Linked DNA regions of Mus musculus. The protein of the gene in region 1 purifies or fractionates together with the protein of each later gene. This does not show direct contact. Links are inferred from orthologs where the notes say so. Each region holds a gene or a part of one and is shown on either strand. Other genes may lie near its edges.

What was found.
Region 2: the proteins of Med8 (region 1) and Med9 purify together in Homo sapiens (affinity purification with mass spectrometry; 5 studies listed by BioGRID and IntAct, with this or other methods). This does not show direct contact. The link is inferred for Mus musculus from reciprocal best matches to the Homo sapiens genes MED8 and MED9.
Region 3: the proteins of Med8 (region 1) and Cdk8 purify together in Homo sapiens (affinity purification with mass spectrometry; 7 studies listed by BioGRID and IntAct, counting the BioPlex papers as one, with this or other methods). This does not show direct contact. The link is inferred for Mus musculus from reciprocal best matches to the Homo sapiens genes MED8 and CDK8.

Annotation. Positions count from the first base shown.
Region 1 is NC_000070.6:118,408,069-118,412,192, forward strand, and holds the start of Med8 (mediator of RNA polymerase II transcription subunit 8), read left to right. Parts: upstream 1-1,268; 5' UTR 1,269-1,312; coding exon 1,313-1,318; exon of another isoform or gene 1,319-1,481; intron 1,482-2,816; coding exon 2,817-2,935; intron 2,936-3,457; coding exon of another isoform or gene 3,458-3,505; intron 3,506-3,589; coding exon 3,590-3,734; intron 3,735-4,124. Other genes in the region: KICSTOR complex protein SZT2, read right to left, coding at 1,095-1,121. UniProt on the Homo sapiens protein: Component of the Mediator complex, a coactivator involved in the regulated transcription of nearly all RNA polymerase II-dependent genes.
Region 2 is NC_000077.6:59,946,787-59,951,088, reverse strand, and holds the start of Med9 (mediator of RNA polymerase II transcription subunit 9), read right to left. Parts: upstream 2,876-4,302; 5' UTR 2,823-2,875; coding exon 2,611-2,822; intron 1-2,610.
Region 3 is NC_000071.6:146,297,224-146,300,432, reverse strand, and holds part of Cdk8 (cyclin-dependent kinase 8), read right to left. Parts: intron 1,631-3,209; coding exon 1,533-1,630; intron 936-1,532; coding exon 857-935; intron 742-856; coding exon 583-741; intron 1-582.

The DNA.
Region 1 (4,124 bases):
TCTCTAAACATCACCCTTTCTTCTTGGTATTCTGTTTCTACCCTATTCACTCATAGGGTTTTCATGTGTGTAGTTTATCACATCCTCCCCATACACGGGTGTGTGTACTCATACATTATACATATATAAGATCACACCCGTGTCAGAGTGCACGTGTGCAGGTCAGAGGACAACTTGTAGCTGTAGAGCGAGCTCACCTACCTGGGAGTTCTAGCCCCAATACTAGCTGCACAACTATGCTTCTTTTAATAGTGGCACCTCAGTTTCCTGAAAAGAGGGATGATAATGGTGTTTGCCTTATAGGGTTGAAAGAACTGGTAACAGTAAAGAGCTCAGAATTGTGGCTGGCATACAGTAAGAATTCGACAAGTAGCCATTGCTATTTGTATCGTTACGCACATGCATCAACCTTCCCTCCTACAAGGCTATCCCTCTGGGGTCCTGGACACGCTAGCCAAATTTGGTACCTCCTCGGATCCGCTCGTTCAGTTGGAAGGAGTAGTCCTAAGGTATCTTTGCATGGCATGACACCTCACCTGCTCTGACTTCAGTTGTCTGCTCTGTACATGACAATAAATACTGCCAGATTCCCTGCTGGAGTCTGAATGTCAAAACATACATATAGGGTTCTTTGCATCTAGGGGGTGGGGGGTGGGGTGGGGGGGCGGGTGCCTCGTCTGCCTTTTCTGCCTTAACTTGTGATCCCCAAGCCACATCACAGAACAAATACTTTTATAAAGAAGGAAGCAGGGTCTGTCCTAAGTTAAGACTGGCCAGAGGGTTGTAGGGCTTTGCCAAGAGCACGAACGCTAGAGCGAAATCAACTCATGCTATTGATTGCATTCCAATAGATGAGATACAAAAAACCCCGCAAAGTCGGTCAGCTTCGGCGTGGCACAATGAAAATCCCAACTAATAACCAAAACACGAGTTTTTATCAGCATCACTATCGCTAACAAGTCTGTGGATGGGCGACGAAGATCAGGATGGCATCTGAGTAAACAAAACAGCAACGGCCTCCTTGAGGCTCCGGAGGGTGAAGGCTGCCACACGCCCGCCCTCGGGCCTCGGCCCCGCGCCCGCCCATCCCTCACCTCTGGCTCGGGGCGCTCCGAGGCCATCACACAGCCCTCCCGCGCCGGCCCGGGCCAGGGAGGTTGCTCCACTCCTGACCTCTGACCCGGCTAGTTCTGTACCGGGCAGGAACCGGAAGTTGTTGGGATGGTCCCGTTTTGAGTTTTCTGATTGGTGAGCGCAGCAAGCCGTGCGAGAAACCGGAAAGGGAAGTGGTTGCGCCCGCCGGGCCGCGGCAATGCAGGTGAGAAGCGGGTTGGGCCTTATAGCCGCTGGCGGGAGGGTGATTGGGCTGAGGACACCGGGGAGTTGGGGCTGTGAGCGGAGGGCAGAGGAAAGGCAGCGGAGCCAGAGAGAGCGAGGCCAGCTGCGGGAGGCGCGGGCATCGAGCCCGCTGATGTGAGAAGGTCGGAGGCCCGGGGAGGAAAGGCGGACTTGATTGAGCGTGGAAAAGGATCGTGGTGGCATTTGGGAAGGCTCGGGAAAGTAGTGGGCTGCCGCACGCCTCGATCTAGGCTGTTGGACACAGGCGTCATAAGGCTTCAGAAGGCTAAAGGGATCGTGGGCCTCCAAGGATGAAAACTAAGCTGTTTGTAATTCGAGGCTGTGGGTGGAACCCGGTGTCCAACCCCCTCAGTCACATAGTCAGGTTTGCAAATCAGCTTTGCATCATTCTTCCCGGCTTGTACCTCGTTGCTAAGGGCGGAGAAGTGGGGTAAATAGTCCTCAGATAGTCAAACGGAAACCCTCTGCCGCCTCAGCGTTTAAAATTGTCTAACACTCAGAAACAATGTGCAGGTTTCCTCGCCTTTGTCTTTCATTACTCTTTCATTACTCACTTGGCTTGTTGCATCTGATAAACCTACACTGTTTATGGGTCACCCGAATTATGAAAGAGACACGGGAATATTGGCACAAAGATGCACGTTGACTTTCCAAAGCACCAAATGCTATGGATAAACGGCCAGTTGGGGGACCGGGAAGGGGATTGCAGAGCTGGTATTCAGAGAAAACCTTACAGAGAGGCAACGTGTGAGATTGTCCAGATTGTGTGGTTGACAGTAGCTACACTCACAAGAGGATGACCAGAGGCACCCATGATATAATGAACTTCGGGAATTATTTAGGCTGTGTGTGCAGATAGCACCCCTGTTATCATGGCAAACCTTTCTGAGGTGAACTGAACTTCCTGAAAAAAACAAAACAAAACTGTGTCAATGCCAACACCACAGAGTGACACGAGGGATTCTCATCCACCCAAGGAAAGCAGCGCAGTGACAATAAGCAGTCGTGAGGTAGGCAGGCCACATCTATTTTCCAGAAGAGGAACTGACAAAGAAGAGTGTGCAGAAACCTGAGCACGTTCCTATTAACCCTACTGCAAATCTAAGAGAATGTTGTCTACTGGGAGAGGCAGTGTTTGAGAGCTGGGAGGAGGAGAGCATGGAATTAAAAAGGTGCAAGGCTAAGTGAGTTCGAAGCCAGTTTTGTTACAAAGACAAATCATGAGGTTTCAAGCCAAAGAGAATTAGGTCTGGTGCAATGACCTTCTTGAAGGACCACAGTGTAGGAGGGTTATAGAGGAATCAGTTAGTAGGAGGACTTCAGGCCAGGTGAACAGGTTGAAAGGTCTAAGGGTTGATGCTATCTGTAACCCAAATACCAAGATAGAAAACAATTTAGCTTTTCTGAATGTGTCACGCTCACTTGTATCTGAGTAACCAAACACACTGTTGATGCAGAGGGAGGAGAAGCAGCTTGAGGCATCATTAGATGCCCTGCTGAATCAAGTGGCCGATCTGAAGAATTCACTGGGGAGTTTCATTTACAAGTTGGAAAACGAGTATGACCGGCTGACCTGGTAAGGATTGCCAGGACAAGCTGGGGAGGGATCCATGGGTGGTGGGGCCAAGCCCCCTGGCTGACAGGACATCTCCAGCGATGTACCCATTTATCAACTTGCAAATATCCTTTTTGATTTGGAAAGAACTAGGTTGCCCAACATTGACAAGTTTAGTTTGGCTTAAAGCCTCCATGGCAAGGAAGTAGAAAAATGTCCAGTTTCCCAACCTAGGCTGTTTCTAGGTTTTAATTCTTACGCTTTGGCTTCCTTAGTGAGGAGGCATTTCCTCAGTGGAAGACCATTATAGCTCCATTTATGGTGGCTCTCCTTCCACACATGAGGCTGGATCTGAGATCCAGCCTTCTGGAATGATAGAGTCTGTTACTACATTAGGGAGGAGGCTTTACAGACTTACTACAGTGTAACCACAGCCCCTGTTTCCACTGCTCCCAAACCCAGTCAAACAGTGGGTTGCCTTTTTTCTGTATCTATGTCAAAAATTGAAAGTGTGTTCCTCTTTCCCAATTCCATCTCTACTAGCAAATCTGGTTCTTGCCTATGCCAGACACAGGGCTGCGAGTCTTCGGGGTGAGTCTGAGTGTTGCAGCATTAGGACTTTTAGAGGTTACTTTGTAGGGAGAAGTAACTCTGGTGACTTCTCGCCACCTCCAGGCCCTCTGTCCTGGACAGCTTTGCATTGCTTTCTGGACAGTTGAACACTCTGAACAAGGTCTTAAAGCATGAGAAGACGCCACTGTTCCGAAACCAGGTCATCATCCCTCTGGTGCTGTCCCCAGACCGAGACGAAGACCTCATGGTAAGACACACAGTATCTTGTTGACTGGATCCTCTGTGTGGCCATGAAAGGTGAGGGCTGCCGTCTGGAAGACTTGTTTTTATCCTTCTGGGGTCAGGAGAGTCCCCCTTAAAGAATGAAGTGAAAATCAGGGCCTATCTCACCAAGTCCACGACCTTCCTTTTCCAACATCTATGTCAGGCAAAAAGAAAAAAGTCTGTCCTGCTTGCCTGTGACTTTGCTGCAGTCTTTAAAATGTGGGGTTGAGAATTTAGCTCAGTGGTAGAACAGACACAAAGTCCTGGGTCCCCAGAATAGGGGTGGAGGTAGAGATTCACAAAAGACCAAAACAAAACAGCAAAAAAAGACAATTTCAGTGTGGTAGTGGAGGGTGGGATTTAGCTCACCCTA
Region 2 (4,302 bases), on another chromosome or scaffold:
AACTATTTACAAAGATGATAAAGCAAGCTTCAGCAGAGAGTTGACCTCAGACCCTCTGACTTCACATCGTGTTCCTGTCACTGAGGCTGGCCCAACCCAACTGCTCTTCCGGGTCAGGAGGATCCTTCCTGAGGTATAGGTGAATGTGTATACATCTGTGTTCTGATTTCCCATGTTTTTAATGTTTGCAAGTTACTCTGAATAAACCAGTACTCCAGCACTGCCCTGAGATGGTTTTTATTTTCCTCACTTCCATCTCATAATGTATTTGCCAACAGCTAACACAGAGGGGACAGTCTGCCTTACCCTGCATACGGGAGGTTCACGTTGTCTGAAGCCAAGAGAGGAGTGAACGTGAGAACCAAGGTTTTGCAGTCATTTGAAAAGCGGCAGATGAGCGCTGTGCTATCCCACTTTTATGTCAACTTAACACAGAGTCAGCAGAGAGGAAGGAAACTCAGTTGGAAAAATGCTCCCACAGAAGCATGCTGTAGGCGAGCCTGAAGAGCATCCTAACTAGTGATTACAGTGAGGAGGCCCCACCCACTGTGGGGAGTCACCCTGGGCTGGTGGTCTTACTAGAGTAAGAAAGCACGCTGAAGTTGGGCAGTGGTGGCTCATGACATTAATCCCAGTACGTAGGGGTGTAGACGCAAGCAGATTTCTGAATTTGAGGCCAACCTGGCTTAAAAATAGTTCCAGAACAGCCAGGAATACAAGGAGAAACAAACACAATAAAAAAGGAAGAGAGAGCGCACTGAGCAAGAAAGCACTCCTCCATGGCCTCTACATCAGCCTCTGCCTGCAGGTTGCTGCCGACTTCCTCCAGTGAGGAAAAGTGATACAGAAGTGTAAGTCAGATAAACCCTTTCCTCCACAGTTTGCTTTTGGTCAGTGTTTCAGCACAGCAGTAGCAGTCCTAAGACAAACACCAAACCACCAGAGCAAGAAACCCAGACTGCCTCAGCTCCAGCAAGAGGGCTTGCCAATGTTCCTAAATGTGACCGGAACTGTAATCTTGTCTTAATTTACTTTTAGTATCTAATGGTTTAGAAGAAATTCAGAGGTTTGCACCTAGTGTCCTGTGGCTATACAGGTATGTGCTAAATAACCTGATTAATGCCAGATCATATATTCAGTAACTGTCTAATGCTTATAATGTAACCAAAACCTTCCTTTGCCTAATGACAAAGTAGTTGTGGTAATGTTGCAGCAGAATGCGCCACTCACAAGAGTGTGAAAAAAAAAAAAGTATACTGCCTGATGGATAAAAAGTATTACCTATACAATTACAGGTAGTTCTTAATGCTTGATAATGATAATAAATAATGATGTCACTAGTTTATGGATGTATTATACTGTAGCGCTTCGCCTTGTTGCCTAGAGACAGGGTCTCATATTAAATAGGAAGTTAACAGTGTCAGCCAGGCAGCCTGGCCAGAGCTCTTGAGATCTGTCTGTAGCGCTGGGACGCTGGGGCTCCAGGCACGAGCAGCCATGACTGGCTTTTTATGTGGACGCTGAGGATTGGAACTCAGATCCTTGTGCCGTTTGTACCGCGAGTGCTCTTACCCACCAACCTGTCCAACTCCCAGTGTTGCTAAGAATCCTGACTGCACAAAGAGGCACCAGGCAGTAACTGTTCCGCGTCACCTAAGTTTATCAAAGCACACTTGAGAATGCTTGCACCAAAAAGTGTACCTCTTGGAAATGACCCAAGCGTATATGGAGTGAGCAAAAACATAGGCCATCATGGAGACTGGAGACTTTGGGCCTAAAAGACCATACATCCTTGTATATTCTATTAGAATTATTAGAATAAAGTTAATAGTGGGACACAATCATTCAGAGCAACTTCTGTGTCTTCGTTTCAAATGTTTCCTAGCATCACTTCTCCCCTCTCCACTTGTTTGTTTGGAGACAGGGTTTCTCTGGATAGCCCTGGCTGTCCTGGAACTCACTCTGTAAACCAGGCTGGCCTCGAACTCAGAAATCCGCCTGCCTCTGCCTCCCAAGTGCTGGGATTAAAGGTGTGCGCCATCTCTCCACTTTTAAGAATGTTTGTTTGTTTTTCTTTGCTTGTAACCGTTAAGCCCTGTAAGGGTAAATGGCTGCTCCTTTCTTTACGGTGTACAACCCTAGTACCTAACAGAGCCCACACAGGTAAGATGCCTCGCATTGAAATGGGTACTAAACTGTGTACACGGTGAGAATCTCGAGTCTGAACGTCTGAGGTCCACCAAAATTCGAACACTTTTCGGGGCTCATATAATGCCACAAGTGAGAAATTCCGCTCTGGGCTTCATGCGAACAGTCAAAACGCAGGCGAATTAAAACAACTGTATAAAATTGCCTTCGGGCTATGTGTAAGGACTTAAGACCCATCCCCAAGTCACTGCAGGATCTGGGATGGGACACTGCAGAACCTATCTATGCATTTGATCAGTACGTGGGCTTCACCCGGGAGTAAAGTGTAACTCTTAAGGCGCCTGACAACGTGGGCCCTCTGGGAAAATGGGGCGTGGTCCAGAGCCCACGGGCTTTGGCAGCTCGGAACCAGGGACACTAGAGTCGCAAAAAGTGGTGTCTTAACCTTTCCTAGACCCTTACCATTTGATGACATTGTGAACCAACGGCAAAAAGGAGTAATTCTCCTCCTTCGCGCCAGCGGGGGACTGAGGCCGCGGAGCCGCCGGCGGCGGGAGCGCAGCGACCGGCAGAGGCTGAGGCGGTGGTGGCGGCTTGGACTCCGGCAGCAGCTCGGGCGGTGGCTGTAGCGTATCTTCGGCCTGTCTCCCACCCGCCACCCCAGAGGAAGCCATAGCACCAGGAGTCCAGCAGCTGCCGAGGGGCGCTGGGTGCTTGCGTCACAACTGCGCGCCCGGGGAGGCCGGGCGGGAAAAAACTCTGAGTCTGCGCCCTGGGCGTAGGCGGGCGGGCGTTGCTAGGCGACGGGTGTCGGGAAAGCTAAATTGAGTAGTCAGGATTAGGGAATCTACTCCAGTCATCTTTCTAGTTCACATGACAGAGAGAGGTCAAAACACCAACGAGGACCCCCGGGACTGGCAGGAAGAACGGATGACGCTGGTGAGCACCGTGTGAAACTGAGGCTCTGCGGCAGCGAGCATCCAGATGACAAGGACTTACACGTCTTTGTGTCATGCTAGCCTCCAGGAGGGCCCCAGACTGGCGACAGCAAAACAGGCCATACAAACTAGTTCCACACGGCTGCCAAGGGGAAAACTAATCGTTCTTCAAGCATTTGGTATGCATCTAGCAGGTGCCAGACTACATACGTATATAAGACTAAGATCTTGGACCAAATAGGAGAACTTTACGATAGGCTTGTATTTATTCATTTCAAGCAAATGGGCTCCATTAAAAATTTTCTGGACAAGGGTAGCAGTAATTCTGATTCTGACTAACAAAAATCAGGGATTAGGGAAGCTGTCAACTGGGAGAGGACATCTGTCTTTGATGACAGGAACCATGTCAGTAAAGAGAGGCCAGGAGCCCACATCTCAGAAACAAAAAGAAGCAGGAACGTGGAACTTCACAATGGTGTTTTCAGGTTTTTTAGCTACAGGTCTCAGAATTGTTTTCTTCAGAGCTGCAGATAGTTCTCTAAACAGAGGCACTGTCAGGAAAAGAATAATCTCAGTGTTGCTCAAAAGAAGACAGAAACAAAGTGAAACAAGGTGATTTATTTATTTCTTGAAAATGAGTGCACCAGAACTCAAGATAAGATAGCAGAAACACTCAACAAAATGGCCACTTTCTTCCATCTCAGGCTTAGGTGCATTTCATCCCATTAGTGGGAACACAACTTCTCAATATGACTCAATGGGCTAATCACCCAAAGGGAAAGGTGGGTGGGGGGAGTGGAGTTAGGGAATACAGGCCCCTGTGGAACTAAGTGTCTGATTAGAAGAACATTTCTCACTGCAGGAAACTGTAGGATTTCCTTCTAACCCAGGACCTCTCCACCTTAGGGGAAGGGCCATGATTCCTGAGGAAGAAGGGAGAAGAGAATGGTCTAAGATGGAACCAGGTGTGCCAGAAAAGACTTGAAGACACCTCTGGAGACATCTGGGAGAATGCATGGTAAAACGGCAGTGTTAGCAAACAGTAGCTATCACTACTACTGTGGAATGAAAGTGACGAGAAACCATTAAAACCCTCATTTAATCCACCGAGAAACTCTGGAAGGTATATCTTAGTTTTCCATTTTATAGAAAAAGAAACAAAAGTTTACAGGGCTATAATAGCAGCCCCAGGATCACAAAGCCACAGAGCTTCCTT
Region 3 (3,209 bases), on another chromosome or scaffold:
CCTCTTCTACAGTGCTCAGGAACAAAAGCAGCCATTGGCTAAGTTCAAGGCACACATGTTTAAGCTGACTTACCAACTTCATTTTATAGATGAGAAACACTGAAGCTGTGTTTTGCTTCACTTTGCACGAATGCGTGTGGAAACCGGAGGTGATGTTGATTCCTCTCCACTTGACACAGAAGCAAGGCCTCTCAATTGACCCTAGAGCTCACTTGACTAGAATCCTGTCTTTGCCTTTGAAATGACTGGACCAAAGGGGTACAGATGGGCCACCAAGCCTCCAAGCACTTACACGGGTGCTTGAGTCTGAATCCTCCTGGTGAAGGGACTTTACCTGCTGCACTATCTCCCAACCCCAGCAGATGTGCTGTAAATGCCACAGGTCTCAAGTTACTGGACTTTCTACTCCAAGTCTGTCCCAAGAGCTGATCCCTTTCTAGTCTCCATGTCTGTAGACTTCCATACCTATAGCATCCCATGCCTGTGTCTTTCCAGGAACACAAACGCTACTGTAGTCCACACTTTACAACAGATCGTTTAGAAACCCCACAACAGCAGGTCAGTAGAAGCCACTTGCAGTACCTGATAGTCGGAGGTCATGATGAGTCCACCTGAGGTAGTGGTAGGAGGGACAACTCTCACTTTTTTCAAGGGGGGCCCCTGTGCGTGGCCGCTGTCCTGGTTCCCCGGATGGCCAGTTCCGTTAGTGTGGTTGTTGCCCTGCTGCTGCTGCTGGGTCTTCTCAATTGGTTAAACAGAAAACACAGTTCAACTCAGGAGGAGAACAGAAACTGGCTGCGTGCCAGAGGCCCGGAGGCCATGCAGAAGGCACTTCCAACTGTACTTTAATACTTACTTTGTCTCCTTTCTCATCAGGCTCTTCTTCTGTTAAAAATTCTCGTTTGGGATATGGGATCTGACAACCGGCGAAAACACTAGTCACAAGAGAAAAAGAAGAGAGCTGTCTCACTGGCTGCCTGGTATTTCCAATGCTTCATCTAGGTGACTCGCTGTCACTCTCTAAGAAGACGGGACTGTGTTTCCATAGTTACAGAGATATAAGCATCTTTCATGCGAGTCTGATGCAAAAAAATCCTTTAACCAATGACACTGCAGCAGGCAGTCTGAAGGTCCTTCTCTGCGTAACCTCATCAATAATCACCAACTAGGACAGCTCTCTCATCCACTACCACAGCTCGCAGTGTTTCATCTGCCCTTCCACGGTTAAAACAAAAGATGATAAAGAGAAGGCAGATTTATTTAGAACTGCTACTCCAGAATATCAGAACCCTTGACTGCAGGCAGCCCCACAAAATCCTAGCAAGTAGAAGGAGCCATAGCACAGTGAACGCATCACTGAGTAAGAGGCATCCATTTCAGCAATGCCTCTTAACCACAAAACCAAAACTGGCATTAGAGCAGAGACGCTCAGTTTCTTCAGGTCCCTCAGAGGCGTGGCAACTTAGTGTGACAAGAGAAGGAAGCACACTTAAAGATGCCAGTCACAGGAAGCCAGCAGATCTGCCACTTACTCTGACGTGGGAAGTGGGTCTTCTAGGAAGTAGGGGTCCTGCATGGCCTGCTCTGAGGTAATTCGCTTTATTGGGTCCATAGTGAGCAACTTCTGAAGCTGAAATCACAAGTCATATATCAGAGCATGCTCCCACAGAAACGTCGGTGTCTACGCCAAACCCTGACTCACAATTTATCCATTGAGGGTACTGGGCAGGTCAGTTTACCTTTTTATAACTGTATCTCTCCAGATGGAAAATAAAAACATCACCAATTACTACAGCTTGTTTTCAGTATTAAATGAATTGTGATGGTTCTTTAGAAAGAATCCTAAGTGTGAGTATTGTAGCTACACTTAGCTCATCCCTGTCACATCCAGAGATGCTATACTAGTGCGAAAATGCAGCACCATCTGCAATGTTTGTTTCTCCCCACCCCACCTCTCCCCCTCCCCCCTCCAAGACAGGGTTTCTCTGTATATCAGCCCTGACTCTCCTGGAACTCAGAGACCTATCTGCCTCCCACCCAAGTGCTGGGATTAAGGGTGTGTACCACCACTGCTCTCTAGGAATGTTTATTTCTAATGTGATATAAGAGACACCTGAACAATGGCCTCCTGCTCTGATCTGCAGACTTCAGAGTGCAGCACAATTGTTGCAAGGCTGAGAGCTGAGGCCTGATCCCACAGCCTGACAGATAGAGAGCTGAGCCCTGTGCCCAGAGTCAGATAGAGTGGTGTGTGTATGTGAGAGAGAGAGAGAGAAAGAGAGAAAGAGAGAGAGAAACAGAGATGTGAACAGGAATCTAAGAACTTGCATTTCCAACAAGTTCCCAGTTGGGGTCTGTGTTGCTGGACTGGGATTGGTTTGAAAAGTAATAAACTAATAAACAAAGATTTAAGGAATGATGACTCATAGAGGATAAGAGGCCTTACAAATATCTTTAAAATGCAGAGATAGTAGGACTCATTTAAGATACCAACTTTCACTTGGCCTGAAAGTAAAGTACATGTGAGGTCCTGTGGTTAAAGTCCAGAATTAAAGAAACTATTTTTATTTTTTAAAAGATTTATTTATTATATAAAGTACACTGTAGCTGTCTTCAGACGCACCAGAAGAGGGCATCAGATGTCATTACAGATGGTTGTGAGCCACCATGTGGTTGCTGGGATTTGAATTCTGGGATGAGCAGTCAGTGCTTAACTGCCGAGCCATCTCTCCAGCCCTAAACTATTTTTAAAAATCAACAAATAAGCTACAAGGATGGTGTCATGGTGTATGCTTGGCCCAGGGAGTGGCCCTATTTGGAGGTATGGCCCTGTTGGAGTGGGTGTGTCACTGTAGGTGTGGGCTTTAAGACCCTCATCCTAGCTGCCTGGAAGTGAGTCTTCTGCTAGCAGCCTTCAGGTGAAGAGGAAGAACTCTCAGCTCCTCCTGCATCATGCCTGCCTGGATGCTGTCATGTTCCTGCCTTGATGACAATGGACTGAACCTATAAGCCAGCCCCAATTAACTGTTGTCCTTATTAGCGTTGCCTTGGTCATGGCATCTGTTCACAGCAGTGAAACCCTGAAATGGTCTCTCGGGTTCTGCTGCTCTCAGACTGCAAGGAAGGCACGAGCTGAGGGATACACCTGGCAATCCCAATAATGCCTTTTGACCAGTATTTTGTTAGGATCAATAAGTCTTAGATCATGA